Linked DNA regions of Nothobranchius furzeri. The protein of the gene in region 2 interacts with the protein of the main gene of each other region in a biochemical or structural test. Links are inferred from orthologs where the notes say so. Each region holds a gene or a part of one and is shown on either strand. Other genes may lie near its edges.

The links.
Region 1: the proteins of skp2 (region 2) and ccna2 are reported together in a solved structure, tested with the Homo sapiens proteins (2 studies listed by BioGRID, with this or other methods). The link is inferred for Nothobranchius furzeri from reciprocal best matches to the Homo sapiens genes SKP2 and CCNA2.
Region 3: the proteins of skp2 (region 2) and cdc34b form a complex in vitro, tested with the Homo sapiens proteins (3 studies listed by BioGRID, with this or other methods). The link is inferred for Nothobranchius furzeri from reciprocal best matches to the Homo sapiens genes SKP2 and CDC34.

What each region holds. Positions count from the first base shown.
Region 1 is NC_091741.1:74,290,270-74,300,226, forward strand, and holds ccna2 (cyclin-A2), read left to right. Parts: upstream 1-4,353; 5' UTR 4,354-4,454; exon of another isoform or gene 4,455-4,780; 5' UTR 4,781-4,816; coding exon 4,817-5,023; intron 5,024-5,720; coding exon 5,721-5,979; intron 5,980-7,351; coding exon 7,352-7,458; intron 7,459-7,548; coding exon 7,549-7,772; intron 7,773-7,848; coding exon 7,849-8,053; intron 8,054-8,156; coding exon 8,157-8,270; intron 8,271-8,402; coding exon 8,403-8,536; intron 8,537-8,617; coding exon 8,618-8,669; 3' UTR 8,670-9,404; downstream 9,405-9,957. Other genes in the region: bbs7 (Bardet-Biedl syndrome 7 protein), read left to right, coding at 1-129, 388-472, 960-1,062, 1,141-1,333, 1,453-1,527, 1,607-1,675, 1,975-2,114, 2,465-2,629 and 4 more. UniProt on the Homo sapiens protein: Cyclin which controls both the G1/S and the G2/M transition phases of the cell cycle. Functions through the formation of specific serine/threonine protein kinase holoenzyme complexes with the cyclin-dependent protein kinases CDK1 or CDK2.
Region 2 is NC_091746.1:70,417,855-70,427,710, forward strand, and holds the start of skp2 (S-phase kinase-associated protein 2), read right to left. Parts: upstream 6,628-9,856; 5' UTR 6,498-6,627; coding exon 6,484-6,497; intron 6,131-6,483; coding exon 5,922-6,130; intron 5,833-5,921; coding exon 5,721-5,832; intron 5,226-5,720; coding exon 5,082-5,225; intron 4,999-5,081; coding exon 4,864-4,998; intron 943-4,863; coding exon 844-942; intron 764-843; coding exon 636-763; intron 1-635. Other genes in the region: ppp6c (serine/threonine-protein phosphatase 6 catalytic subunit), read left to right, coding at 9,789-9,856. UniProt on the Homo sapiens protein: Substrate recognition component of a SCF (SKP1-CUL1-F-box protein) E3 ubiquitin-protein ligase complex which mediates the ubiquitination and subsequent proteasomal degradation of target proteins involved in cell cycle progression, signal transduction and transcription.
Region 3 is NC_091751.1:57,905,447-57,915,326, forward strand, and holds cdc34b (cell division cycle 34 homolog (S. cerevisiae) b), read left to right. Parts: upstream 1-4,390; coding exon 4,391-4,576; intron 4,577-4,660; coding exon 4,661-4,747; intron 4,748-4,838; coding exon 4,839-4,936; intron 4,937-6,513; coding exon 6,514-6,648; intron 6,649-6,761; coding exon 6,762-6,972; 3' UTR 6,973-8,417; downstream 8,418-9,880. Other genes in the region: splicing factor Cactin, read right to left, coding at 1,214-1,376, 1,463-1,608, 1,684-1,779, 1,857-2,445, 2,967-3,265; sirt6 (NAD-dependent protein deacylase sirtuin-6), read left to right, coding at 8,935-9,000, 9,308-9,435. UniProt on the Homo sapiens protein: E2 ubiquitin-conjugating enzyme that accepts ubiquitin from an E1 ubiquitin-activating protein, and catalyzes its covalent attachment to other proteins by an E3 ubiquitin-protein ligase complex. In vitro catalyzes 'Lys-48'-linked polyubiquitination.

The DNA.
Region 1 (9,957 bases), on a different chromosome or scaffold from region 2:
GTTCTTTGCATTGACACTTATGACATTATTGGAGATGGAGTGAATGACATCCTTGTGGGCAGGGACGATGGGACAGTTGAGGTCTTTGGATTTGACAATTCTGGTGAATCCACGTTACGATTTGAACATGTGAGTGTATAGACAACCAAAACTGAAAGAAGCACTATAGTTTATTTACTCTTGTTAAGTTTTCTCTTGTTGGAAAAAAAGTCCTCTCATAAAATGTTGTTATGCATGCACGCAAATATTCAGCTTAAGATCAGGCAAACACGACGAACAATCAAATATTTTCAACCATAACTGGTGTGAAATCAGTTGATTAAAGATACTTTGCACAATTTCAACTGTCTGCATAAGCTGAAAGTGACCGGCTGATGTTTGTTACAGGTTTTGTCAGAGAGTGTGACCTCCATCCAGGGTGGCTGTGTGGGGAAAGAGTCTTATGATGAGCTCCTGACCTCCACATATACAGGTTAGAGGAAAGACTTAAAAAGACACTACGCAAAGTCTAGTATGTGCAAAAATGACGCTTTACAGGGTTAATGAAAGACCACCCCAGCCCTTATTGTCCCCTGTAGACAGAATATTTAGCTTCAGAGTTCCGGTTTGGTCTGTTGGGAAAAGTTGAGCTGACATACCTGGCACTGCAGTCTGGTTCCAGGACTTTTCCTGCATGTTTTAGATCATGAACACAGCTGATTTGTTTAATTTAGTGATGAACCACTCCTGTAGACACTAAGGAAGGCTGGGGAGACATTTCAGCTGTTAGACTAAGATGATAAAAAGGTGAACACACAGCGAGGAGGTAGGTTTTACTTTCAGTTCTACTAAATGGACACCAGGGGTGCCAAAAGCAATCCTAGTCTCCCTTTAATGGATTCAGTAATGAGAATGTCCTGTTTAACTATTCAGGAGAGGTGACATAAAAAAGTAAAGTTTCATTATTTGACCATTTCCAGGATGGGTGACTGGTTTGACCACTGAGCCCCAGAAGACAGAAGCTGGTCCAGGAGACGAGGTCAGGATGAGCAAAGAGACCCAGTCTAAAATAGAAACACTCAGGTATCAGAGCTTCTCGTTTGACTATCTGTGATTTGGTTAAAGGAGAATTTAAAGACAAATCTGTTCGAACCCTTTTAGAGCGGAGCTGGAACAGCTGCAGGTTAAAGTGTTACAGGGACGAGAGCAATACCAACAGATCTCTCAGTCCAACACAGCTGTCTCTGCTGTGCCTGTCTTCAGCATCAACGACAAGTTCACCCTCAGCCAGGACGACGCCAGCTACAGTCTGACGCTGGAGGTGCAGACAGCCATCGACAACCTGCTGCTCCAGGTATACGCAGCATATAAGCCCCTCTGAATGAAAAACTATTTTAAAAATGCTTGCTTTTGATCCTGTGTTTCAGAATGAAACGTCTTAAGTGTCATTTTAAATTTGGATTTTTTACACAGAGTGACGTCCCCATAGATCTGCTGGACGTTGATAAGAACTCTGCTGTCGTCAGTTTTAGTGAATGTGACTCAGAGGTGAGCTGTATGAATACTTTCTTTACATAAAACCATCCTGCCTCCGCTCCAAACCGTCTGATGCTTGTTGTTATTTCAGCAGCCTAATGGGAACTTCCTCCTGGCCACATACAGATGTCAGGCCAACACTACAAGGATGGAGCTTAAGGTAAGCAGAACATTGGACTCTTGTCACTCTCTGGTTTGCAGTGAAGCCATGCAGACATGCCTTTAGTGTTTACTTTTGTTTATAAATCTATATTATCACATTAGGTCCAGTTTTCTCTGATTCTGGTTGCTTTTACTTTTTACTTAATCACTTACCATACTTGTTCAAAGAAAAGCTTTAATGCAGTGTTATACAGATGTTCTATTAAAAATTGTTACCTAATCTACTTTTTAAACCTGTTTTATAAATAATTGAACACAGAATAAAATGTTTAATCCCAAACTGAAACATTTTTATAGGTGAGATCCATTGAGGGACAGTATGGGACCCTGCAGGCTTATGTTACCCCCAGACTGCAACCAAAAACCTGTCAGGTTCGGCAGTATCAGATCAAACCACTGTCCCTTCACCAGCGGACGCACAGTATAGACCCAGACAGGTAATGATTTTAGTCTATATATACGGTATATACATGGATTTCAGTTATTCAGATTTTCTGATTAGAGCAGTCATTACTAAAAATGTATCAAATGACAGCATGGAATTATCTTGAGGCATAAGATTGCCAAAACTTATTAATAAACTCGATATCAAGAATTATGCATTTAGCCGTATTTATTAAGAGAATTGCTGTATAGCCTTCAACAAGACTACACTACACTACATTTGGCTTTTGAGAAATTGTATTATTTCCTTCTGTATGTGTTTGTTTGTTTCCGTAATCTTAGAGATTTCTCATTATAATTAGAGTTAACTCAGTAATGTGATCTCTCATTTGTTTTCTTTCAGACCCATGAATCAGCTCAATTTGGTGGGACAGTTCAGTTTTGCAGAGATTCATTCCTGGGTGGTTTTCTGTTTGCCAGAGGTGCCTGAGAAAACTCCGGCAGGCGAGAGCATTACTTTCTACTTCTATAACACATTCCTTGGCACACAGCTGGAAGCCACCTACAGGTAAATGCATGCACAAAGTAAAATAATACTGCACTCCATCTGAAATAGTACTTCAGTTGCGAACGAGTCTGAATGTCTCATTTCAGCAAAGGGGAGGGCCACTTCAAGTCCGACAATATTTCTACTATCTCTATACTGACTGATGTTCTTTCCAAAGAAGCTACCAAGAAGAAAATCAATCTAAACATTTCATACGGTATGTTTATTTTTCTTCTGTTTCCGGATAAGCTGAGACGTCTTTTGCCATCATTCAGCGACATAGAACAACATGTTTATTGATCTACCAGATATTAATGACGACTCCGTGAGCCACACCCTCAGGATGATCCACCCAAAGCTGGAGTATCAGTTGGTGCTGGCTAGAAAAGTTCAACTTGTCGATGCTCTCAAAGTAAGTTTTGGTTAAATGTGTTTTGTTGCTGTTTATTTATGATTCAGTTCATTATAGTTGAATCTATGTTTCCTAGGAACTTCAAGTTCATGAAGGAAATGCAGATTTCCTCATCCCAGAGTACCGCAGCATTTTGGATGAGTCTGCTAACCTTCTGGAGGAGTACAAGAAGCAGCCAGCCCACCTTGAAAGGCTTTACGGTAAAGCTGGAGTAAAAAGAACTAACTTTCACTGTTGATTAATTTTTGTTATTGTTGCTTTTTGATTTTCACTTTATAAAGTTTTGTGTGTATTTCTGTTTTCCTGCAGGAATGATCACTGACCTCTTCATCGACAAATTCAAATTCAAGGGCCAAAATGTGAAAACAAAAGTGTCCTCGTTGTTGGAGATACTTGATAATTACGAATTAAAGTCACTCTTAGACTTTTTCAATGAGCCATGATGCCATAATGGCCAAAGATGATCTATCTCTGTGACGGTTGTTGTGTTGCAATCTTTACATGACGATAGTTCATCTTTGAGACTGTGTTATTTTGTTAAATTTTATTTAGAAATAATTTACTCTCCCTTAAGAGTTGAGTAATAAATTACTTTTGATGTATTAAGGCGTACTGCAAATGGTTAGGAGAATACTGCAATACTCTTATTTTCATGCAAGAATTTGATGGAATTTGTTACAGTTATAGTATGTGTGTCAAATGCTACTCAATTTAATATCTAATCTTTCTGTATTAAACCAGTCCTTGTGCAGTAACTTGTCAGTAAAAAATAGCTAACACACCAATTGTTTTCAATTTTATTCCATATTATTTACATCTTAATGTAATGTACCTCATGCTACAACAGATTCGTCAAGAAACAAGTTGTTGCTGTATACTGGGTTAGGTACTTCCATGTGGATTTAAGTTTTATACACAAATTTATCTAATCAGCATAAGTGGTCATTCAACCTAATGTAAGAATAGGACACATGAAAAATAAAGCCAAACATAAAAATACAATAGTATTTAAACATTTTAAATTATAGTCTTATGAGTAATTTCTTAAACTAAACATATGTGCAAGTCTTTCAGTAAACAAGTATACTGGTGGACCTAGAAATGACCTCAAGCACGAGCCCTAGGTTAGGAAGACGTCTAAGTATGTTGAAGTGCTTCTAATGATATAAATATACATAATTGTTGCAGCAAAGATTTTTATTCCAAATGCGTTAACGTTGTTGTTACTCGCGTTTAACTTTGTATTTGGGATCTTTTTTTCAAACCGGTTTTAAATTTGCAATTAAAGTTTTTTGTCCCTCCTCGCCTCCTACACTTGTAATACGTCAGTTCCTTCGCGGTCTGTGATTGGTCGGTTTCAATCATCGCGGGCTACTTGAACTCTCTAAGTGTTTGCATGAAAATGCATCGACAATAGCTGCTGTCATTGTGCAGGTTTGTACCGGATACAAAACTTATAAATAGAATGGCAACTTAGTTTTTCCTTAGTTTTGCCAACCCGATGTCAAAGGTGCACGTTTGTTTTTATTTGCTTTGTTCTAGCGCTGCAGTTCCAAGTGCTGTTGCCATCTCAACAGTTTAGTTCTGATTCACGATTCAGTCTGCTGTGCAACAGCTAAAGCTCGCTTCGACATAACTGCTCACACGCCATCTTTTTTAGCCTTTTGATTTGTAAGCTTTCCTCTTTTTTTCGCTCTGTGAGGAAGCACACTACGGTTGACCACTGCTTTTTTATTTATTTGTTTTTTTGTTAAAAAAAGTGCGGAGAAGTGGATTCTCTCTTGGAGGGTGGAAACATGTCAGGAGCTAACAGGCAAGGAAATGCGGCTAGTGAGCTCCCCAACCATGAAAACATGCTTTCAAGGCTCAGAGGGTCGCTTAAACACCGAGCTGGTGAAAACCAAGAAAACCAGCCTCCCAAACAAGCCGCCAACAGAACCGTGCTGGGAGCCCTGCAGAACAACCATCGGAGCAAAGCCCAGAACCAGCGAGGCGCTAAACAGGTAACAGGCTAGCAACCTTGGCCTAAGCTAACACCTAGGCAGGCTCTGAAGGCAACTAAAATGGTTACATTTGGATGCAAGTACGTTAATTAGCTGCTTTAAGCGCCTTTTTAAAAATGAAGTAAAATGACATGTTATGTTGCTCTGTTAAGTTTCCCCTGCTTTCCGCCATTTTAATAACCTTATAGCCCTTGAGTTGCTTTGTTCTAAACACAAATGTGCTTCTGGAGAACCTCCCGTCTTCATTTACTGTATTTAAGTCAATTTACACAAGATTTTCTTTGCATTTACAAGTATCCTGTAACCGAGACTTAACACAGAGGTAAAATTAATTTAGCATAATCTGTAGACTTCTTTTATTTATTTTTTTACACACCTGCATGTTTTTCGTGTTCTAATAAAGGGCATACATTTTGGGTCCTTCCTAATACATTTTGCTATTGTAGAGTTAAACTAATTAATCACCAGCTGGTCTGAGAAGAGAAGTTTTTGAAATACTAATTTATTACCTTTTTAATGTAGTATTAATAGTTAATAATACTTTATAATATATTGCTTCCACTGAGCCTCACATTAACAGAAATGCAAAGAAATTTGCTATATTTGAATCACATTTTCCACAGAAGTTTCTAATTCACAAATCAAGTTTTGGCAGATGTCTGTACATTACAGATTTTTTTTTTTTTTTTTGTTCCAGGAAACATCACAGCCCTTGGCTTGCAAAAATGAAGATTTTAACAAAATCCTTGTTGAAAGACCTGTTAAGCAGCCAGCTTTCCAGATCCATGTGGATGAGCCTGACGTAGCCTGTGACAAAAAGCATGTGGCTGAAACAAACAAAGCGAAGCCCACAGTGGAGGAATCTCCTCTGGTTGTCAGTCATGCTGTGGCACGACTCCGACAGCCCCTGGCAGTGATCGAGGTTCCGGTTCCGTTAGCCATGGATGTCAGCTTTGGTGGGTTAATATTCAATTCAATTCAAAAATACTTTATTAATCCCAGAGGGAAATTGATTGCTGTAGTAGTTCAGTTCAGTTCACTTTATTTCAAACATATACATTCACCAACATTTCATAAAATCATTCCACGCAATTGTTTGAAAAGGAGTAGGGAGAAGTGTATACTTATTTAGCCCTACCCCTCAGGTTTACATCCTCATCAAAATTTAAACAACAAAACAGTTACAATGCCTTCAAAAAAAAAATAACAATAATAATAAATAAATAAAATTATCATGTTCAACTAGAACTACATTTAGATTTTCTAATTTGTAGAATAGATTAAACATCAGTTTGCATGCCGTCCTGGGTTAATTGCATTTTCTTCATTCTTATACTTATTTAACATTTCTTTTTTGAGTTTTATTTTAAACTGGTTTACATTACTACTATCCTTTATTTCTTCTGTTAACTCATTCCAGAATTTAACGCCCGCTATTGAAATAGACATCCTTTTCAATGTTGTCCTTACTCTTTGTACTTTTAAATTCCACTTCCCTCTAAAATTATACATAAAAATAACTCAGAATAATAATAATAATATATAATATTAATAATATTAATCAAGTCATCAAAGAGTTATTGTATATCACAATGGCTGTTGGCAGGAAGGATCTCCAGTAGCTGTCAGTGTTGCAGCAAAACTGAAGAAGCCTCTGACTGAAGACACTCTTCCATTGTCGGGCAGTCTTGTGAAGAGAATGCTCAGGGTTGTCCATCATTTTCTTGATTCTCTGGAGAATCCTTCTTTGCATTATCTCCTCCAGCGGTTCCGAAACTGCCGAAACTCTGGCTGAGTCCTTGAAAAGGCTTGGAGTTCCTCCATCCACATTGCCCATTATGATCGATGGAAGAGATGGTTTGAATTTCCTCTTTCTCTGTCTCCGTCCCGCTCTGCACCCACGCTTCTTGCGTTTTAGCTCATTTGGGATTTGTGGCTTCAGTTGAGGTATTATTTCAGTCTTTCCAATGTTAATCAGTTGCTCCCGATTGTAAACCAGACGGTTGCCATGGTTACGCATCACAACATGCTCAAAGTGAAAAAAGCTAAAAGTAGCAGTAAAAATCCTCCAAGCTTCACAGCACCAGAAACAGAAAAGTGTCCAAAAAATAGTTTTTCTTGAGAAACTAGAAGAAAAAATGCCCAAGAAAAGGCTAAACTTACATATAGTCAACAGCTACTCCAACATGCAGCCACCCAGAGCAGCGCAGTTCCGGGGAAGAAAAAAAATTGACTTTCCCTCCAATAGTTCATTATTACGCAATAAAGTGTTAACTTTGACATGTTAGTCAGCTTTATTGTACTAAATATAGACTGTTTTCTCTCCAGATTCTCCCATGGACATGTCTGTGATAGAAGGGGATCAAAAACCTGTGGCTGTAAATGAGGTTCCAGAATACGCTCCAGAGATCCACACATACTTGAGAGAGCGAGAGGTGAGTGCATTAATCTATTATCTAGATGTTTTTTTTTTTTTTTTTTTTTTTTTTTTTTAGATACAAATCAGTTTAATCTTCTCTCTGTAGACTAAAACCCGACCTAAAGCGGGCTACATGAAGAAGCAACCCGACATCACAAACAGCATGAGGGCCATCCTGGTGGACTGGCTGGTGGAGGTTGGAGAGGAGTATAAACTCCAGAACGAGACGCTCTATCTGGCCATCAACTACATCGATCGCTTCCTGTCCTCCATGTCTGTTCTACGGGGCAAACTTCAGCTTGTGGGAACCGCCGCCATGCTCTTGGCTTCGTACGTGGTCTATGTGGTAGCTGTGTTTGGACTGTAAAGTTTACCACGTTATATACATTTTTATATTTCCCTGCAGGAAATTTGAAGAGATCTACCCTCCTGAAGTGTCAGAGTTTGTCTACATCACAGATGACACGTACACAAAAAAGCAAGTGCTAAAAATGGAGCACTTGGTGCTGAAGGTGCTCTCCTTTGATCTGGCTGCTCCCACAATAAACCAGTTTCTCACTCAGTACTTCTGTCACCATTCTACTGGTAAACAGGTGGAAAGTTTGGCAATGGTAAGAGCCAGTCACGTGGTGCACCTAATCCACACTTGAGCAGACTAGTTTTATAAGCAAATCATCGTTATGGCATGTTTAACGGAGGAACTTTTCTTTCTAGTACCTTGGGGAGCTCAGCCTGGTTGATTCGGATCCGTTCTTGAAATACCTGCCATCCCAGACGGCCGCTGCAGCCTACGTCCTGGCTAACAATACGCTTACTGGAGGATCCTGGGTAAAACTACTGTTAGACTGTAGACTACACAGTCCCTGTGTGGATCTCTTACTGCTGATTCTTGCAGTAGATTTAATTATTCCATACTGTTTTGCAGATGTTGATGTTGAAATGACTTTCTTCTCCCCTCAGCCTAAGCCATTGGTGGAGATGACCGATTACAGTCTGGAGGATCTGATGCCGTGTGTAGAGGATCTCCACAGACTGTACGTCGGTGCCACCCAGCACGCCCAGCAGTCTGTCCGGGAGAAGTACAAGGGCTCAAAGTTAGCTTCTGATTCACCTACATTGTTTCTGTTGTGTGAAGTTGGACATCACTTATCTATGGTCTTTTTTTTCCTTCACAGGTACCATGAGGTTTCCTGCATCAGCTCGCCAGCTAAACTGCAGCTCAACTAGCTTTTGCTTGTTGGCATGCGTACCCTTTGTCTGTCTTAAACTTAAAAAAAAAAAAGTTTTTTTTTTTTTTAAGATTTTTTTTTAAGCTTCTGAGTTTAATATGTTCTGCACATTCTGGAGTGATGTTAGATTTGGAGGTTTTCTATATATTTTTTTATATTCTGAATCCCAGTGTTCGACAAAACAGATTTTGTATAATGAGGCAGTTTTTAACAAGACAAACCTTTTACCACTCTTAACACAAAAAGGGCTGCTTTTATCAACTGCATCAAACTTTTTAAGGCCTGTGGTTTAACCAGAACCTGGGTTGTGGCATTTTTTTTACACTTTTCTGGGGCTGAGTCTTTTAAAAACAGCTTTTGCCAATTTACCACTTTTTCTTCCTGGAGGTGGACCCAGTTTGACCTGTTGGGATGCAGATTTAAAAGTGTTAATCCATTCATCTGATTGCATGGATGCCTTGGAAGAGGCATTTTCTGCACTGTAAAATATAGCTCTTGTAAATAAAATCCGTTTAAAATGAGGAATGCCACATCTGTATCACGTTGGACTCATGGGGGCAGCAGAGGCCATGTTTTCAGCCATGGACGGATGAGGACAGGTCTGTCAAACATCTCCACCTCAGTCCTTCTAAAGGGTGTGTTCAGTGTGATTTCTTAAATCAGGATTTCATATCACCTGTTAACATGAGGCTGTAAATGTTTGGGGAACAATAAAACTCCATGGATGAATGTTTGCAAGTGGATTGTGTCCTCATTCCTGGGCGGTTGAAAGATGTTTCTTTTACTGTAAACATTGAAAATTTAGTATACAACACAATCACCCCCCCCCCCCTATTTTTTTATTGACTCAAATTTTCACAGAGAGTGAGCTGAAGGCAGCCAATGGCATTGAAGGTGTCTCACTTGCTCTTTTATGATAAATAGTGGGCTGGCTTTGAGCGAGGCATCTAACGGAGAGAAAGCAGAGCCCAGCTGCGCAGAGGATTTTTATCATGTAAGACTCAACGGCTGTGCACCTCCTCAACAGGTTTGCTGTCCTGCACATTTTTCAAACTGGAACAGAATGATGGATTTCTTTAACACATCCTAATCAGTTGGATACTTGCTTGAATAATGGTTCCTACTGCACACCAGGAACAACCCAAGAGAAGATCCAAGTGTGGATAAAGCTCAGTTCCTGAAGGTGGAGAGGGCAGGTTTGCTGCCTGAAGCCAATGCCTGCGCCCAAAAAATTTCTGGTGACCTCCACCTCGCTGCCCCTGGCACTGGGCTGGGGTTGGAACCTG
Region 2 (9,856 bases):
CAAGCTTTTTTAAAATTTTACTTAAAATGGTAAGTTGGATACCGGTCGATAATTGTTTAATTCATTAAAATCTAAATTGCTCTCGAGAAAAGATGAAGACGAAAACTACTTCCTGGTAGCACTGGGCGCAGCCATCTTTAAATTTGGGATCTCGGGGTCCTCTGGAACCTAAGAGCTCGCAGCTCAGAATTCTGAGTCCATTGCGTCATTTCTGGCTAACTTATCTCGGAAAAACAAGTTCCGAAGAAAACTTGAATGCACCATCACTTTCCACTTCCTGTTTTCAAATCCCGCGTAATGTTGTGACTTTCACGCGACTTTCCGAGAAGCGCTCAGCAGCGCGTCCTGTGACCTCTTCTCAAAACTGCCGCGCTTCCGTCTCTCCGGTGTGCCCCAGTCTTCAGTTGTGTTAGTGGCCCCCCTGGTGCTCCTCGGCCCCCCGAACGTCCCTCCTGGTGTACAGCCCTGCCCCCATCACTCACCTACAGAACCGTTTCTAACTGGGTTCTGGTCTCACACCGACTTCCTGTTCATTTAAAGTCATTTTATTGGCTATTCAATCCTTAAATATCCTGATGCCTGTATTGTCTCTGATCTGCCTTTAGCTGGTTTTGGACCCGGCACTGGTTCCTTACCGTCCAGGGTCAGACTCTCTCTGTAGCCACTCAGGTTCAAGGCAGACACGGTTGGACTCAGGTGACCCACAACACTCTTCACATGATCGCTGCTGAAGCTGCACCACGACACGTTCAGCTGCTCCAGCCTGAAGGAGCAGATACAAGGACAGATACATCAGAACCCAACGGCCCGGTTCCGACAGTAGAAACTGGGCGATCGGCTGACCTGCAGCAGGACTGAAGCAGCTCAGTGAGAGCAGCAGAAGAGAAGCCAGAGCAGCCGCTCAGATTGAGCTGCAGCAGGTTGGAGTTCTTCACCAGGCAGCTAGGGGGCAGAACAACACAAACACAGGCATGAGAACGGGTGAGACCCCTTTTATCATCTCCTCATCCATCCAGTCTCTGAGGAGAAACAAGCAACCAGAAGAAAACATCTGACTCAGCGGTGGACTAAAGTCTCCTCCCAGTATAAGTAGAAGTGAACACAAACCCAGGTCGGCCCGGTTCATGAGACAGAACAAAGATCAGCAGGAGCGTCTACAGGCGGACAGCTAAACTAGATCAGAGTTCTGAGCTCCTCCAACCGAAGCGACCCGAGGACTTTCAGCCCAGAACCGGATTAGCGTGTCTTCACCATGCATCTCTCTTCTGTCCTAGCTCGACTCATCACGCTCAAATTAAATGGACACAAAATGGAAGCAAGCCGGATCCGACCCGTCGGTACTCCGTTCAGGCTCGGACCGTACGAGCAGGAAGGAGACATTATCATGGAGGTCTACACAGGAGACGTTCAGACGAGCTGTGTTGGAGTGTCGCCGGTTCAGACAAGCTGCGTTCGAGCGCGTTGCTGGTCCAGACGAGCTGCTTTCGAGCGCATCGCCGGTTCAGACGAGCTGCGTTTGAGCGTCACCGATCCAGACGAGCTGCGTTTGAGCGTCGCCGGTCCAGACGAGCTGCGTTTGAGCGTCGCCGGTTCAGACGAGCTGCGTTTGAGCGTCGCCGGTCCAGACGAGCTGCGTTTGAGCGTCGCCGGTCCAGACGAGCTGCGTTTGAGCGTCGCCGGTTCAGACGAGCTGCGTTCGAGCGCGTCGCTGGTCCAGACGAGCTGCGTTCGAGCGTCGCTGGTCCAGACGAGCTGCGTTCGAGTGTCGCCGGTCCAGACGAGCTGCGTTCGAGCGCGTTGCTGGTCCAGACGAGCTGCTTTCGAGCGCATCGCCGGTTCAGACGAGCTGCGTTTGAGCGTCACCGATCCAGACGAGCTGCGTTTGAGCGTCGCCAGTCCAGACGAGCTGCGTTTGAGCGTCGCCGGTTCAGACGAGCTGCGTTCGAGCGCGTCGCCGGTCCAGACAAGCTGCATTCGAGCGTCGCTGGTCCAGACGAGCTGCGTTCGAGTGTCGCCGGTCCAGACGAGCTGCGTTCGAGCGTTGCCGATTCAGACGAGCTGCGTTTGAGCGTCGCCAGTCCAGACGAGCTGCGTTTGAGCGTCGCTGGTCCAGACGAGCTGCGTTCGAGCGTGTCGCTGGTCCAGACGAGCTGCGTTCGAGCGCGTCGCTGGTCCAGACGAGCTGCGTTCGAGCGTCGCTGGTCCAGACGAGCTGCGTTCGAACGTCGCTGGTCCAGACGAGCTGCGTTCGAGTGTCGCCGGTCCAGACGAGCTGCGTTCGAGCGTTGCCGATTCAGACAAGCTGCGTTCGAGTGTCGCCGGTTCAGACGAGCTGCGTTCGAGCGCGTTGCTGGTCCAAAAGAGCTGCGTTCGAGCGTGTCGCCGGTTCAGACGAGCTGCGCTCGAGCCTCGCCGGTTCAGACGAGCTGCATTTGAGCGTCGCTGGTTCAGACGAGCTGCGTTCGAGCGCGTTGCCGATTCAGACGAGCTGCGTTCGAGCGTCGTCGGTCCAGACGAGCTGCATTGGAGCGTCGCCGGTCCAGACAAGCTGTGTTCAAGTGTCGCCGGTTCAGACGAGCTGCGTTCGAGCGCGTCGCTGGTCCAGACGAGCTGCATTGGAGCGTCGCCGGTCCAGATGAGCTGTGTTCAAGTGTCGCCGGTTCAGACGAGCTGCGTTCGAGCGCGTCGCTGGTCCAGACGAGCTGCATTGGAGCGTCGCTGGTCCAGACGAGCTGCGTTCGAGTGTCGCCGGTCCAGACGAGCTGCGTTCGAGCGTTGCCGATTCAGACGAGCTGCGTTTGAGCGTCGCCAGTCCAGACGAGCTGCGTTTGAGCGTCGCTGGTTCAGACGAGCTGCATTCGAGCGTCGCTGGTCCAGACGAGCTGCGTTCGAGCGTGTCGCTGGTCCAGACGAGCTGCGTTCGAGCGCGTCGCTGGTCCAGACGAGCTGCGTTCGAGCGTCGCTGGTCCAGACGAGCTGCGTTCGAACGTCGCTGGTCCAGACGAGCTGCGTTCGAGTGTCGCCGGTCCAGACGAGCTGCGTTCGAGCGTTGCCGATTCAGACAAGCTGCGTTCGAGTGTCGCCGGTTCAGACGAGCTGCGTTCGAGCGCGTTGCTGGTCCAAAAGAGCTGCGTTCGAGCGTGTCGCCGGTTCAGACGAGCTGCGCTCGAGCCTCGCCGGTTCAGACGAGCTGCATTTGAGCGTCGCTGGTTCAGACGAGCTGCGTTCGAGCGTCGTCGGTCCAGACGAGCTGCATTGGAGCGTCGCCGGTCCAGACAAGCTGTGTTCAAGTGTCGCCGGTTCAGACGAGCTGCGTTCGAGCGCGTCGCTGGTCCAGACGAGCTGCATTGGAGCGTCGCCGGTCCAGACGTGCTGCGCTCGAGCCTCGCCGGTTCAGACGAGCTGCATTTGAGCGTCGCTGGTTCAGACGAGCTGCGTTCGAGCGCGTTGCCGATTCAGACGAGCTGCGTTCGAGCGTCGTCGGTCCAGACGAGCTGCATTGGAGCGTCGCCGGTTCAGACGAGCTGCGTTCGAGCGCGTCGCCGGTCCAGACAAGCTGCGTTCGAGCGTCGCTGGTCCAGACGAGCTGCGTTCGAGCGCGTTGCTGGTCCAAAAGAGCTGCGTTCGAGCGTGTCGCCGGTTCAGACGAGCTGCGCTCGAGCCTCGCCGGTTCAGACGAGCTGCATTTGAGCGTCGCTGGTTCAGACGAGCTGCGTTCGAGCGTCGTCGGTCCAGACGAGCTGCGTTTGAGCGTCGCCGGTTCAGACGAGCTGCGTTCGAGCGCGTCGCCGGTCCAGACAAGCTGCGTTCGAGCGTCGCTGGTCCAGACGAGCTGCGTTCGAGCATCGCTGGTCCAGACGAGCTGCGTTCGAGTGTCGCCGGTCCAGACGAGCTGCGTTCGAGCGTTGCCGATTCAGACGAGCTGCGTTTGAGCGTCGCCAGTCCAGACGAGCTGCGTTTGAGCGTCGCTGGTTCAGACGAGCTGCATTCGAGCGTCGCCGGTTCAGACAAGCTGCGTTCGAGCGTCGCTGGTCCAGACGAGCTGCGTTCGAGCGTGTCGCTGGTCCAGACGAGCTGCGTTCGAGCGTCGCTGGTCCAGACGAGCTGCGTTCGAGCGAGTCGCTGGTCCAGACGAGCTGCGTTCGAGCGTCGCTGGTCCAGACGAGCTGCGTTCGAACGTCGCTGGTCCAGACGAGCTGCATTGGAGCGTCGCCGGTCCAGACAAGCTGTGTTCAAGTGTCGCCGGTTCAGACGAGCTGCGTTCGAGCGCGTCGCTGGTCCAGACGAGCTGCATTGGAGCGTCGCCGGTCCAGATGAGCTGTGTTCAAGTGTCGCCGGTTCAGACGAGCTGCGTTCGAGCGTCGCTGGTCCAGACGAGCTGCGTTCGAGCGAGTCGCTGGTCCAGACGAGCTGCGTTCGAGCGTCGCTGGTCCAGACGAGCTGCGTTCGAACGTCGCTGGTCCAGACGAGCTGCATTGGAGCGTCGCCGGTCCAGACAAGCTGTGTTCAAGTGTCGCCGGTTCAGACGAGCTGCGTTCGAGCGCGTCGCTGGTCCAGACGAGCTGCATTGGAGCGTCGCCGGTCCAGATGAGCTGTGTTCAAGCGTCGCTGGTTCAGATGAGCTGCGTTCGAGCGCGTCGCCGGTTCAGATGAGCTGCGTTCGAGCGCGTCGCCGGTTCAGATGGACTTATTTCCACTACTGTTGGTGGTGTCGGGGGGGCTCATGAGTATGTCCTCCAGTGGATAATACTGGAACTGGTTGAACTGGGAAAGCTGGCCTCGCTGTGACCCTACGTGAGGGATTTTCATGTCTGAAACAACCAGAACCAATCAGACCAAATCCTGACCCGGTACAAGTCAGACCTGATGATGCTGTTGGAGAGCTGCAGACCCTCCAGGCTCAGGTGGTGCAGCAGCCTGCAGCGACCCAAAATGTTCTGGAGAGTCGAGGTCGGGATGATAGAGCTGGACAGGTCCAACTCAACGATCTGCAGCGGGCTGGAAGGACAGAACAGAACCCATTATCAGGGGGGTTCTACCTGCTGCTGGGACCGGACCCCAATCCGGGCTGTCGGACTCACCGAGAGTCGGTCAGGTATTGTTCCTCTACAAAAGCTCGAGGGCAGCGCAGCCGGCGGACCCCGGTCCTCAGAACCTGTTGCAGAGCCGGGCCCACGTGGGTCAGCCCCTCCAGGTCCACGCTGTACCACAGAGACTCATCGGACCTGAAACACACAGATTACCTCAGAACCGGATCCTGATCCCCTCCAGCCCAAAGGTCACCTGCATGTCTCTGCTGCTCCGCCCAAAGCCCCACTGATGGAAACTCAAATGAAATACGAGGAGAAACAGAACGGAAGCGGACTTCCGGCGTTGCCATGGAAACACATAAACTAAATAAACGCCTCCAGGAAGACGGCTCTAATCAAACAGCCGGTGCTCTGTTCTAGTTCTCTGTAGTGCTCGTTGGCATGAATGAATAATTCTTGCTCCATCTGGGGGAAGATGCTCACTTATCTAGCATCCATTAACAGGGTCTGCCCGCAGACGCACGAGAACTTGACCTGAGCATCGTTGGTGTTAGCGACAAATCCTCGAGTGAACAGGTGCGATTGGTCAAGCAGGGACTTATCAGGGACCCCCTGGAGAAGCCCCGACCCTAACCACAGCTGGGTTTTCTGAGTGTGTGTGTGTGTGTGCGGTCCAGCAGGATCTCTTACGCCAAACGCTGCCAGCGCCTACTGACTCCAGAAATCCTCAGCAGGTCATGCAAGGGGAGGCAAGAGTAGATCCTCAGGAGCAGCTCCTCAGGTAGATGATCCAATGAAACACCTGAGGAGAGAAACCAGCCAATCAGAGAGGTTTAAGGTTTCTGAAGGCAGCCAGATGGAAGCGTGGGGGGGTGGGGGGGTTTCTCCTACCTGACTTGGAGCTTTTCCTCCTCCGGGACCTCCGGGCCAGCACAAACTCGTTCTCTTTGCCCCTGGGGAGGAGCAGTGGGACCTTGAGAGGCGGTGGTCTCTGCTGGATGGACTCTGTGGGGGTGCACTCAGAGTCCGGACCCTCAGCCAGGCAGGTCCGGGACCGTTTGTTCCGGAGGCTGGAGCAGGGCAGGTGCATCAGGGTCCGGCTGCAGGTGGACAAGATGGGTCTGATCAGCCAGAACCGGACCTTCATCCTGAGGAAGACTCTCCCCACCCCCACCCCCCCGCCCCCAGCCCGCCATCAGGATGATGACAGGTCGCGCAAAGTCCCACCGCTAGAACCACTGGGAGAGCTGCTTTTAAACACCATTAAAAATAATCTGCATAAAATGATCAAACCAGCAGTTTAGAAAGGAAACCCCAGTAGTCCGACATCAGATTAAGTGATCCGTTTATTTAACTGGATTATTTTAATCGGATCATCGACTTGTTTCATTTTCTTGGTTTAAATAAGCGAATAAGACAGAAAACAGGAACTAAATGTAGTTAAGCATCAAACCTGTGTTGAGACATCCTTCCGCTTCAGATTAATAACCCTAATCCGGGAAAATGCACTTCTAATCCTCGCGTTTCTCTCTTTACTCTCCAAACTGGACTCTTTAAACGCGCCACCAACTCACACGCGCCTTGTTTTTACTACGTAAAAAGACGTGACGTCATCACGCACCGGCTTCACCGCCCCCTAGCGCCTGGGAGTAGAAATGTTCTGGTTTTTAATAATTTAATAAGCAAAGCAGCAACCAGACACACCAAAATATGACCAAATCAACCAAACATATCATTATCGGCTTATTTATAGTCATTTTACTTAATAGTGGAGCAGCTGATGCTATAATATTAGTCCCACAACCCCCTGCATGGGTTGCACATCCTTCCCAATGTTAAGAGACCGTCTACATAATTATCAGAAATGGGTAAAACAAATACGTGTTCTTTTGAATCTAGTGAAAGCTGCCTTAAATGTCCCCATCTTCGAGGCCTCACCTGCAGTGTGTGAAAATGTTTTAATACACAAGGTGTTCGACTCTAGCGCCCTTATTTCTGGTGCCAGACGCACTCGTTTATTTTCAGTTTGTGCTTGTGATCCTCTCTTTCTCGGAGATGGTGGTCGATCATTTCATTTATTTATTTATTCGGGACAGTGCGCATTAATAACAATCACATACGTTGTATCCATTGTAAAGAGGCCAGATTATAGCACAATTGCTAATTTACATCTGCAGTTCCTCAACAGGATGACTAAATAAAACAATTTACAATGTACAAATGAAAAACAGTCAGATACAAAAACATAGAAATATAAACAAAAAACAAACAAGCAAGTTACTACAAGTCCAAACATGTCTGGGTTTAGTTTGAGGTTCTATCTAGTGGTGGGAATTCCGGCTCTTTTTCGAGAGCCGGTACTTTTGGCTCAGCTCACCAAAAAGAGCCGGCTCTTTCGGCTCCCAAGTGGCTCCTCAGATTTTCTGTTGCGTAGAATACATTTATAACCAAAATAATGCTAAACTACCGTATATGTAAAATAATTTACTAATGTTAAAAAAGCAATATGTCAAATGTTTATAATTTCTATGGATTTAATAACTGAACACTAAGAAATCTCCACTTTCCGACTGCTGGCGCTCATTTTCTCACCGTCTTCGTCGCACTCTCCTCCCTCTCGCTCGCCTTTTTCGTCCTCCTCATTGCCTCTTGTCTCCCTCCACCCGCAGGTGCTCTGCTGTGTGTCTGTCTGAGTCTGATCCTCCCTCTTCCCCGCCCCTACTGCTCTGTGTGTGGACAGTCTGGACATGCAGTTACACATGTTAACCAGTCACCTGTAGCTTTCACCAAGGCGGGGGGGGGGGGGGGGGTTACGGCTCCGAATGACGAGCCGGCTCCCGTCGTTCACTTCAAAGAGCCGGCTCTTAGAGCCGGCTCGTTCGCTACCGACACATCACTAGTTCTATCAGTGGCACACTCTCTGATTTTCACTGGGATATGGTTCCAACATTGACTCCCTCTGACTGACGATACAGTTTGTCCGAACGTTGTTCTCCTGCAGGGAATCTGAAGGTCTCCTCTAGTGGAGGCTCTGGTACCAAAGCCATTGTCCGGTCTTAGTTTGATATATGTGGAAAGTGGAGGTGGGGCTCATCCATTAAGAATTCTGTGGATTAAACAGCTATTTTTAAACTTAATACGCATTTTAAAATTGAGCATGTTATACTTTTCCAAAATATTACAGTGGTGAAGTGACAAAGGCTTTTGATCGAGGATTTTTAAAGACTTTTTGAATAATATTTCTGTTGGTTTTAAAAGTGTATCTCCAGTGAATGGCCAGGTTGTGACGCAGTAGTCTATACACTCTTAAAAAAGTGGGGTTATTTTTGCTAACCCAACTGTTGAGTTGAGGCTGAAAATCTTAAGGTTGGGTCAGTTCAACCCACCATTGGGTCATATGTGACCCAGCACATTGGGTCACATATGACCGTGTTTATACGGTGTTCATATACATATCTGTAGAAATGTGTATAAACACGGTGTTTATATACATATCTATGCCTTTAGGCAGCGCACGTGTTTTTTTTTAAATATGGTGCCCGCCCCTGTGTACTGCAGTCAAGGGCTACTCATTATGTAGGATAAAAATAAAATAAAGAAAATACAAAGGATTAAAATACATAAGAGAAAAAAATACTACTACTACTAATAACATTCAAACATGAAAATTAAATAAAATATAAAATAAAGCTAAGGCATGAAAACAGAACATTTAGACCAATACAACAATTTTAAATATTAATTGAATTAAAAAAAAGAAAAAAAAACCTAAAAATCAAAGTTAGGCATGATTGTACAAAGCATTATGTACATAATATTTGCAACCGACCTTACAATGAATCTAGAGTTGTAACTTTTACACTGTAAAGTAGTGATTAGTCAAGGTTAGATAAGTAATGCTGCTACGAGTCAAACTAAACGACGACGGTGACGGCGACAGTGGCACAGGAGTTAAGTGCTCGCCCCGTAATCCCGGTTGCAGGCTCGAGCCCCGCTCAGTCTGTCGCTGTCGTTGTGTCCTTGGGCAAGACACTTAACCCACGTTGCCTGCTGGTGGTGGTTGGAGGGACCGGTGGCGCCAGTGCTCGGCAGCCTCGCCTCCGTCAGTGCACCCCAGGGCAGCTGTGGTTACATCGTAGCTCATCCCCACCAGTGTGTGAATGTGTGTGTGAATGGGTGAATGACTGATTGTGTTGTAAGGCGCCTTGGGGGGTTCCAGGACTCTAGAAGGCGCTATATCAAATACAGGCCATTTACCATTTAAACACAAGAAAATGTTCATTTTGTTGTCAAACGAGATTTAAATTTAGTTTTGAAAGTTTAGTATGGAGACTTTGAAAGCATTAAACAAATGTGCTTCACATTCATCACTCTCTGATCGTCCTCCATCTTGGAACGCGCTGTCTCATAAACAACACAAGCCTGAATCTCCGGTGGGCCTGAATCTGCGGTTGGTCCCAATCTGTGGTGGATCTGAATCTGCGGTGGGTCTGCATCTGCGGTGGGTCTGAATCTGCGGTCTCCTGGTCTGCAGCGAAACCATCGCGAGTCGCGACTCTCCTCGCGCACGCAGGCCAGGCTACGGCTGCTCCTGCCTCATTGCACTTCCGCTGTTAGCCGCTGTGAGGCGATAGTGCATGTATCAGAGGATTTACAGCTGAGGAATCGTTGAGGAAGAGCTAGAAAAAAAACGGAAAAGAAAAGGAACTAGCTAGCGGGCTAACATAGTATTTTTATATAAGTTTTACCTTCCTTATTATGGCGCCCTTAGACCTTGACAAATACGTAGAAATCGCTAAACATTGCAAATATTTACCGGAGAACGA
Region 3 (9,880 bases), on a different chromosome or scaffold from region 2:
TTCCTTCACTTTATTAAACACAACATTATTAGAAAACAGTTCAATAGCAGAAAAACAACATGCCATCACCTAAATTGTCTTATAAGGTGTATAGACAGAGACCCTAAGCTACACCTATCTGTGACCTAAAATGCTTGGTCCAAGTTAAACAGCAATTCTCATCTGTTTTGTTTGATCTCATCTGTAGACATTTATTATAATTGGGGATGTCAAACAACTAATTTTTAAATGTAATTAAACATAGGCTGTGAATTAATCAAAATTAATCACTATTTCCAAAAATGACTGAAAAAAATACCAAATAAAACAAAAGTAAATGAATGCCATCCTCCTTGTGATGATGCCCTGGGCAACTGCCATAAAGTCACATCAAGAAATGCTGCTGATCATTCCAATGATCCCAAATAGACTCACATTAGGCCACATGAAAGCAACTGAACCCAAAAATATATTAACCAGTATATAACTGCACTCTCACACAACACGCCTGCAGCAACAGTTAGGACTCCTCCCTCCCTTTTAAAAGCGTTTTCGCTTCTGAGGACATTGTGGTTGCAAAGCCACATGTTAGTAGTCTGGCCCCGGTGTGATCAACCAGTTTCTGCGGGAATGTGACGGCGGAACCGGTTCACAGCAGCGCGACCCCCCCCCCGCGCCTATCTAATAGCGTTGCGCTTACGATTTTATAGACTGTTTTTTTACGAGCTTAGGGCATGTCTAGCCTGTGTAATAATCCGGGGCTTGGGTGAATAACTTTTGAAATGTTTTTAACTTACCTGGACACAGGGCTCTCTCCTTCCTCGCTGATGATTCCGACATGCGTTTAAGATGCTGCATCATCACCGTAGTACTCCCGTGCCATGTTAAGTCTGACCTACAAACGTTGCAGGTAACGAATGTCGTCGCCTGATTTAACTGAAAATGCTCCCAAACTTTTAGAAGTTTTCACTTTTTTGGGTCTCGCTGCTTCTGCCATGTTCCTCTTCCAAACACCTGCCGGCTCTCTCTCGCGCTGAACTGACTTGCTCCGGTCTGCGCTCAACGGCGGGCAGGAGGGAGGGGAGGGGGGGCCTTTTGGAAGAGTTGTGCGACACAACGAATCGATGAAGCAATTTGTTGCCAACGCTTTTAGTAATCGATTTTCATCGAATTTATCGATTCGTTGTTGCAGCCCTAAAAAGCAACCCTGGCTTCAGCGAGTCCATCTACTGACCTTTATGTCCTCTAGCAGATCGTCCATGTCGGTGACAGTCAGCCCATTGAGGAATGTGTATGGTTCGTGCATCTCCACGGCCAGATCATCATCCTCAGCACTGATGTACTTTGCCAGAAGGTCGATGGGCTTCGCACGGCCATCGCGAATCCTAATCTTGGATCTGAACACAAAGGAGCAGGTTTATAACACATAAAGGCCTAGATGCTGAATAAGCCTGACACAGAAACAGAAACGATGAAGAGGGACCTTAGTTTGGCCTGCTGCAGATGGAAGTTGTCCTCCTGTTCAGCCCAGGTTTTGAAGTGCTCTGCCTCCTTCTCTCTCTGCAGCATTTCCAGCTCCGTCTCCCTCATGGCTTTTTCTCGTTCCCGCTCCAGCCTCAGCTGTTTCACCTGAATAAACACAAAGCTGCAGCCACTAAACTTCAAAATTTTGATTTAGATTCAAAATCACCCCAAAACTCATACCTTCTGCAGCTCTCTGCGGTTCTCCTCCTGAATACATTTGTTCCTTTCTTTAAGATCTTTTTCACCAAGATGGCCGATACCCTTCTTATCCAGCGCCTGAGAACAAAGTATCCTGATGAAAGTCCTTTCAAGACTTAAAAACAATCAGCCACAGATCTGGGAAAGGAACCCACCTTCTGCCATTTAAAGGTTCCTAATAGGTTATTGTCACCAAAAGGATTGTCTGCGTTGGTGTACCCCATGTATTCCTCACTCCACCCCATCTTTTCTCTCCTTTTTTTCTCCTTAGCTTCTTTCTTCGCCAACCTTCTGGCTCTCTTCTCCTCTGGCGTCTCCAGTGCTTTCATCATCTCCCTCTTGTTCTTCCTCTCAGTTTTCTCTTTGATTGCTCGGCTCTCGCAATCTGACCCTGAACTCTCAGATGACTCGGAAGAACTGGGGCTTTGCCTCCCTCTGTTCCCATCAGCCCTATCTCTGCTCCTCTTACTCCTCCCCCTTTCCCTCTCCTTGCTCTTCCTTCTCGTCCAGCTTTCGTCCCTGTCTTTTGTCCTTTCTCTGTCTCTGCTGTTGCTTCTCCACCGCTCCCTCATCTGTCTGTCTCTGACTGGACTGTTTCTTCTCCTCCTCCTTTCTCTTTCTCTGCTTGCATCACTTGAATCAGAGGCAGACTGGGACCTTCCCCTTCTTCTCTCGTGGGATCTACTGCTGCGTTTCTCCATCTCTTTCCTTCTCCTTCTCATCTTGGAATTATCTGAATCAGGACTGAGACAAAAATAGAATTTAGTGTGAAAATTAAATGAATATAAACGCATAAATTATGACTAGTATCAAGAGATCATTTTATAAGCCTTTTACAGTGTTTAACACCTATTCTATATATAATCTAGGAGTGTTTAATGATCTATTGGATTACAACGGTTTTTATAATTAATCAAAGTAAAATTCGTTTCAACCTGCTTCTAAACAGTTACATGCAGACATTTACTGTAAATATAGTGTTTAAAAACACCTGTCGCAATAACCACCTGTGGGTTACACCCACCCACCACCTATAAATATGACTTATTGGAGGAAAGATGATGAAAATCTGCCAATCTCAAGCGACTCTCTATTCTGAATAATAGATCACAAACAAAAATATATTTTGACTGTGGCGACTTTCTTCATTTTTTGCGCTGCGTGAGTCAAAAACAAGTTAATGTGTGAATCTCAAGTTGGACGAGTGAAGCTTAACTAACAGACACAACCTTTTATCGTACTGTAACATATTGTGTTAAAATTACCTCGATGCACGATCCTTTGATTTGCTGCTGTGGCGCGGCGCTCTTCGACATCTGTCCCCCTCCGATTCACTCCTGGACCCTGATCGGCCCCTATGTTGAGGTCGGGCCCGAGAGCCATCGCTCGAAGCCTCGCTGCTGGATCTGCCTCGACCCAGTGTGGTCCTTTTCGGGCTCGGAGACCTGTTGCGACCTCTCCTCTCATCTGGAGATCGCGACCTGTTTACTCTGGACTTGTTTCGGTGATCTCTGCCCCGACTTATGGACCTGGAACGAGACCTACGCCGTGTTTTCGAACCCATCACGAACTTTCTTCTTTTCGGGGCCCTAAATGCAGTCTGTCGCGTAAATAGGAGGCATTGACGAAACACTGTTGATTATAATAACGTTTACAATCGCACTAATAAAAACATATGTCTATGTTTAATGTTCGCATACTCTAACGTGTGCTATGACAGAAAAAATTACGTGTCAGATTTCTTTTATAAAAAATCCAAATGTATTTAGTAAGGCAAAGAAAAGCTAGCCTAAATGGGCTTTCCTGAGCACTGGCGCAGATTAAAACGTCACAGCCACTTAATAAACTACAAATTAGCCACAAATGAACGCAGGATTGTTTTTCTTACAATTTAGTTATGTCGGTGATAAAATACTATTATTGATGTCATAGATATTTCGTCCATAGTAACCGCTACCGTATTTAAACAGTTTAACAGGAAAATGCAAGCACAAACAAACTTATTTTTCTTTTTGGGCATTTAAAATAAAAATAAAAACATCATAAATAAAAAGAACAGGAATTATATTATACCAGGGTTTTCAGTTATTTTGGTTTCACGTTTTTTTAATCTAACAAACGCGGAATGAAAGACTACCAGTCCCAGCCAACAACAGGGCGCCATTACCTGTTTTTACCAGGGGACTCTTTCAGCAACACATTTCCTTTCGCAGCTTTCTATGAGGGCTAAACAATTATGGTTACTGGAGGTATAGTTTGGCGTAGTGTCACATGACTTTTTGCGTTTGTCTTTTCAAATTGCCATTTTATGTAGTTATTTTGTGTTTTTGCGGTAATTACGTCGCTCCAGCTGGTCAATTAGACGGAGCTTGTTAGCTTTCCTTAGCTAACAGTAGATTTAAGGCTTATATCAGCTGCTGCTCTGCCAGGTAAATCAGCCAAAGCTGTTGAGCCTCTCAGACACAATGTGTTTCTCGTTTATAACATTACTGAGTTTTGACATTAATAACGTTTAATTTGGGAACAGACCAACCGCAGTCTTTGTTTTGCTTTTACGCGCGGTCGGCCTGTTTTCTTTGCCTCCGAACATCGAAAAAGGAGAAGTTGTGCTGTTTGCTGGCTTGGCTAGCTTAGCCGTGTAAACAAAAGCTGTCGCCTCCAGATAATCCTGAAAGCTTCATAAATCATTATGGCGCAACACGACCCTTCTCATGTAGCTAGTTCGCAGAAAGCTCTCATGTTGGAAATGAAGAGCCTCCAGGAAGAGCCTGTGGAGGGATTTAAAATCACTCTGGTGGACGAGGCTGATTTATACAACTGGGAAGTCGCCATTTTTGGTCCACCAAACACTCATTATGAAGGGGGATATTTCAAGGTAAGGTTGTAATTAAAATCAGATGACATATAAGAAATGACCGTAGTTTAAAAAATAACAAGATGTCCCCATTTTCCCCCCTAGGCAAGGATCAAGTTTCCTACAGATTATCCTTACTCCCCTCCTGCTTTCCGCTTCCTAACCAAAATGTGGCATCCCAACATCTATGAGGTTAAATATTGACGTGTGTGTACTCATAACAGTGTATTTAATTTGAATGAATGCATCTGATGATGGAATGTATTTGTTTCCCCTCTTGTAGAATGGAGATGTGTGTATTTCTATACTGCACCCTCCAGTGGATGACCCGCAGAGCGGAGAGCTCCCATCAGAGAGATGGAATCCAACCCAGAATGTTCGGTTAGCATTTCTCTTTCTAATCATATTCTCTCTATACGTTTCTCCTTTCTGGTCTCCTTCCATCTTTGTCCACTTTGCAATCACTTCAATGGTTCACCCAGCGCAGACTCTTATCTTATGACATTCATTATCAGCAGCATCTTCTTCACCGGCTGCAGCAGCCAGCAGTAAAGCTAGATCTGCATCTTCCTCTTATTTACAAACAAAATTAAATTGATCTTTGGATAATATCATACTATGCAAACTAAGATTTTGTTGGTTTATTTCTATGAAAAACATACTTTGAGTACCTTAATTCATTGTGACTCACAATAAGTGTATCGCATGAGTTTGACAGCATTTTGCTGCAGAAGAGGGAGAAAATGCATCTTTATTTATTATAAACTTCCTTCTGAGGTTATTTGTCAGGCTCACATTATGCAATCTGTGCACAAAAAAATGTATCTTTGATCTTTTTCTGTAACTGAGAGCCAGATTTCTATTCAACAAGAAACTATCTATGTAAAAGCCACCACAACGATGTCACACTCACAAGTGATATTAAACCTGTGATCTGTAGTAGTCGAAATCACACAACTTCAGCAGTGTTACAAAGATGTAAGCTCTGGTGGTTTCGGTCACTTGATGCAGTGCAGCTCTTATGTTTTTGTTGTTGCAGGTGGTATACCGTTAACCTAACCTAATTTCCTCATTTGCATTTTTGCTGCAGACACATTAGATCTGTAGATCAGGAAGTCTGTCACAAAGGCTGTTCCTTTGGCCACAAACAGAAGCAGCTTCTTTCTGTTTCCCATAACGACTCACTAAAACCTTACTCACAATGCTACGTTTTATAAATGTAATGTAAAGGCTTGTCAGTGCGCATTGTGCGCTCTGCTGAGAAGGTGATTGGCTGCAGCCCTCCATCTCTCCAGGACCTGTACGTCTCCAGAACTCGGGGGCGTGCAGGCCGGATAACAGCTGACCCTTCGCACCCGGGTCACAGACTTTTTGAGCCGCTTCCCTCAGGCAGGAGGTTACGGTCCATCCGGACCAGAACCTCCTGCCATAAGAACAGCTTCTTTCCATCTGCCGTTAGACTTGTGAATAGATTATAAACACACAACCATGCTGGTCTTCTGTACTCGACACAACGTCACGTTATCGGCCATGTTACCATTACCTGCCATTTTAGCTGAAAGTTTTATTCTAGTTTTTTTAATTATTATATTTTATTCTATTTTATTCTATTTTTAATCTTATTATTCATGTTATATGTAGCACATTAGTGCCGAAGCAAGTTCCTAGTTTGTGAATTGTTTGTTCACTGAAAATGGCAATAAACCTATTCTGATTCTGATTCTGGTAGGGTGGTAGCACATGGGTCTGACAGGTTTTTTTAATACATGTTTTATCAATTAGCTTTAAGTTCCTAATGTAATATGTGCTTCATTGTTTATTCTAATAAAATAGTAGATGAAATAAGTAATTTAGGCTTGTGACATTAAAATATTTTTTATGTGTTTAAAACTTTTTAATTCACCTAAAGTCGTTTTCTTATGGTTCTATACTAAGTTGCCTTTGTTTTTTGCTTCTAGGACCATTTTGCTGAGCGTGATCTCGCTGCTAAATGAACCCAACACCTTCTCCCCTGCCAACGTGGACGCCTCTGTCATGTACCGGAAATGGAGAGACAGCAAAGGCAAGGACCGGGAATATGTAGAGATCATCAGGTAAACATTAGTGTAATGTTATTTAAGACAAACCTCAAATATTTCTAAAAGATTTTCAAAGCCACACCATCCACACAAAAGTAATTCAGTCTTCATAAAACAAATCCCTTCAGGAAACAGGTGCTGGCCACAAAGGCAGAAGCAGAGCGAGATGGCGTGAAGGTGCCCACCACGCTAGCTGAATACTGCGTTCGTACACGCGCCCCGCCGCCAGACGAAGGCTCTGACCTCTTCTATGACTATTACTATGAAGACGATGACGTGGAGGGGGGAGACGGCGACTGTTGCTATGACGAGGATGACTCGGGCAATGAGGAGTCGTGACATTCTTGTTGTCAGAAAACCCAACCTAGCTGACGAATGCTCATCCTTTAACTCTTCCTGGGTTGCCAGATATTCTTGGTTTGCAACCAAGAGAGATTGGAAGCTTCCTTCTAAATCAGTACAAGAGCTTTTTTCCTTCAGCCTCAGAGGTTAAAACTGATGCCTCGTTGCGAGAGGGTCAGACTGTGGTCACTTTTGCACCAGCACAGCCACCAATTTTTTTTTCCAACTTCGAGAACTTTTCATCACACTGAAGCTTACTTTGCTCACAAAATCCAGTCCTGGTTTTAGTATGAAATATTTTTGGTTGGGTTTCATGATCACTGAACTGGTGCAAACTCTTAAACCATCACTTCACCTGTTTTGCATAGCTGTATTTCTCTAATTGTAACTGGGGGTGTCTCACTGGTTGTCCGCCTCGTGGTGGAAACTTTTACAGACTTCAAGATGGACAAAGGACTGCAAGTGTCCCATATTTTACAGTTTCTGTCTTTGATTGGCAGGACATGGAGGAGTTTTCATGGACAGTATGTTCAAAGTTCTCATGCATGCCAGAACTTCTTTGAAAGCTTTTTGTCTTTTTATTTTTATTTTTTAAATTGGTGGACTGTTTCCCAACGTCATGAGAGACTCGTGGCAATGGAGGGCCGTCCCGTCTGCTGGAGTCTGCTGAGTCAGCTCCTCATATGAACATTCTTACTAAAACATGAAATTGATCTCTGCTGGGTTTTTATCTTGGATGTGTTTTTCTGTCACTCAGTGTGGGGTTGTGTTTTTTTGAATGAACTTGTTATTAAAGTTGTGTAATAATCAAGTTGTTGAAGGTTAGAGGGGCAGAACTAATTATTGATTAGAATTGTATTTCTCCTCAGCGTTGCTCTCTGAGCCGCCTGATGGACCCGAAGAACTAAAGCAGAGTGTAAATTAAATTTTAATACGCTTTGCCAGATGTTTCTCTTTTTGCTTTCTTGCAGGCCCTATGATTTTAGTTTTTCTTTGTTAGATGTTCGGCATGCACTGGAATAGGTAGTCTTGTGTCGGTGTGTACTACCGAGATCAAACTTCTTCAGCCCTACAACTGAAAATGAAATGTTAGCCCCCTTTATTGATTTATTTTTTTGTAAGAGTGGTTTTGATTTTGTTTTTAGAGTGTGTGGATGTCCTATGTGTAATTTTGTCTTCAGTAAGCATTATTGTTTTATTTACTTTAATTGGGACATCATATTGAATTACTCAGGATAAAATTATACGCGACAAAACAATTGAGACGAGCAACTCCTTTCCTCTTTCGGTGGTCTTCAGTGTCAGTTCACAGCTTCTACAGGAACCATAATCCAATATGCACACGTATGAATGATCACCATATGGTTTTACTTTTCTGTCTGTTTTTTTTTTCTCAAATATTTAAAAATGAAAAATAAAGATTAATTTGAAAGAAAAATGCATACTGTTTTTAAAGCTTGGAGTCATTTAAATGATTTTTTAAAAGTTGTTCTGCAGGTGAAGATGGAAGATTTTTGTTTAGTTTTAGTCTAAATGTAGTCATTTTACAGATATGTTTGAGAATAAATGTCCTTGTTTGTGGAATGTCTGATCAGGTTAAATCCCATTTTTAAAAGGCACCGAACCGTTTTGTTCTGTGGGATTTTTCAGTTTTTATTATCAGACTTTTTATTCTAATATATTCAGTTTCATTGTGTAATTTGGATTTAAATTTTTACTCAATTTCTAACAGCTGTACGGTCTAATCTAATCTCTACCACAAGTCTAAACTGGTCTGAACGAAGGTGGAGCGCACGTTGAGGTATTTTAATTCCTGAAGTTCTTGAATGCAGCATGTGTCGGCGCACAGTGATGTCGTCATTCAAACGAAGCACCCTAAACCTGGCTGGAAGAAATACGCAACAGATAAAACAAGAACAGTTTGTAAAACAAAGAAAAAAAAAATAAACAGTTACAGTCATGTCTGTGAACTACGCTGCAGGACTATCGCCTTACGCGGATAAGGGTGTTTGCGGTCTACCTGAGGTAACATTTAGGTGTTGTATCGCTCCGAGAGCTTTTCAAAGAGCTAGTTAAATTAGCAACGTAGCGTCGCTTTCATTGAGAATGCATTTTTGTTTGGTTCGTTTAAGAGTAATAATATAAAGACGGTGTTGTAGAGCAGACCGTCTGTGCTGTGTTAGCCTCTTTGTTATTTAACATAAACACTATGAAGCACGGTGGAGGATAGATGATGGTGTGTTCTTTTGTTGTTGCCACACATCTGGCACGGTTGTATACAATAGTCGCCCCCTTGCTAATTGTTTAATTGTGTGTTTTTGATCTGTGCCAGAGTTTTGATAATCCGGAGGAGCTAAAAGCAAAAGTGGAAGCCCTCGCTCAGCTGATTAAAGAATCTCAGTACTTGGTTGTCCACTCTGGAGCTGGAATTAGCACCTCAGCAGGCATCCCTGACTTCAGGTGAGAGACAATATGTTTGTTCCTGCTAATGATTAAAAGCATTCTAGCGGATTTTTCCATTTGATGTGATCACACACACCTGAATTCGGATCTTCCACTCATCAAAGTGGTACAGCTGGTCCTCATTTGGTAGATTTCTTAGCTTTTATTTTGTCTTTATGACTGTAAAAGAGTAAATCTTGGTTCTCATATGTGCAAACTAATTTTGAACAACTTAATCAGCTTATGATGGAAGATATGTATTGTTTATGTTTATGTATTTAGCAGACGCTTTTGTCCAAAGCGACTTACAAGTGATAATCGGCATGTTGCCCCTGAGGCTAACAACAACAATAACAACAACTTGACATCAATAATTGTATTGTATTGTGTTATTAAAGGTGTGGAACACTGGAAACCATTTTTTAAAATCGTATTTCTGATTACAATGGGTCACTCAGAGTTT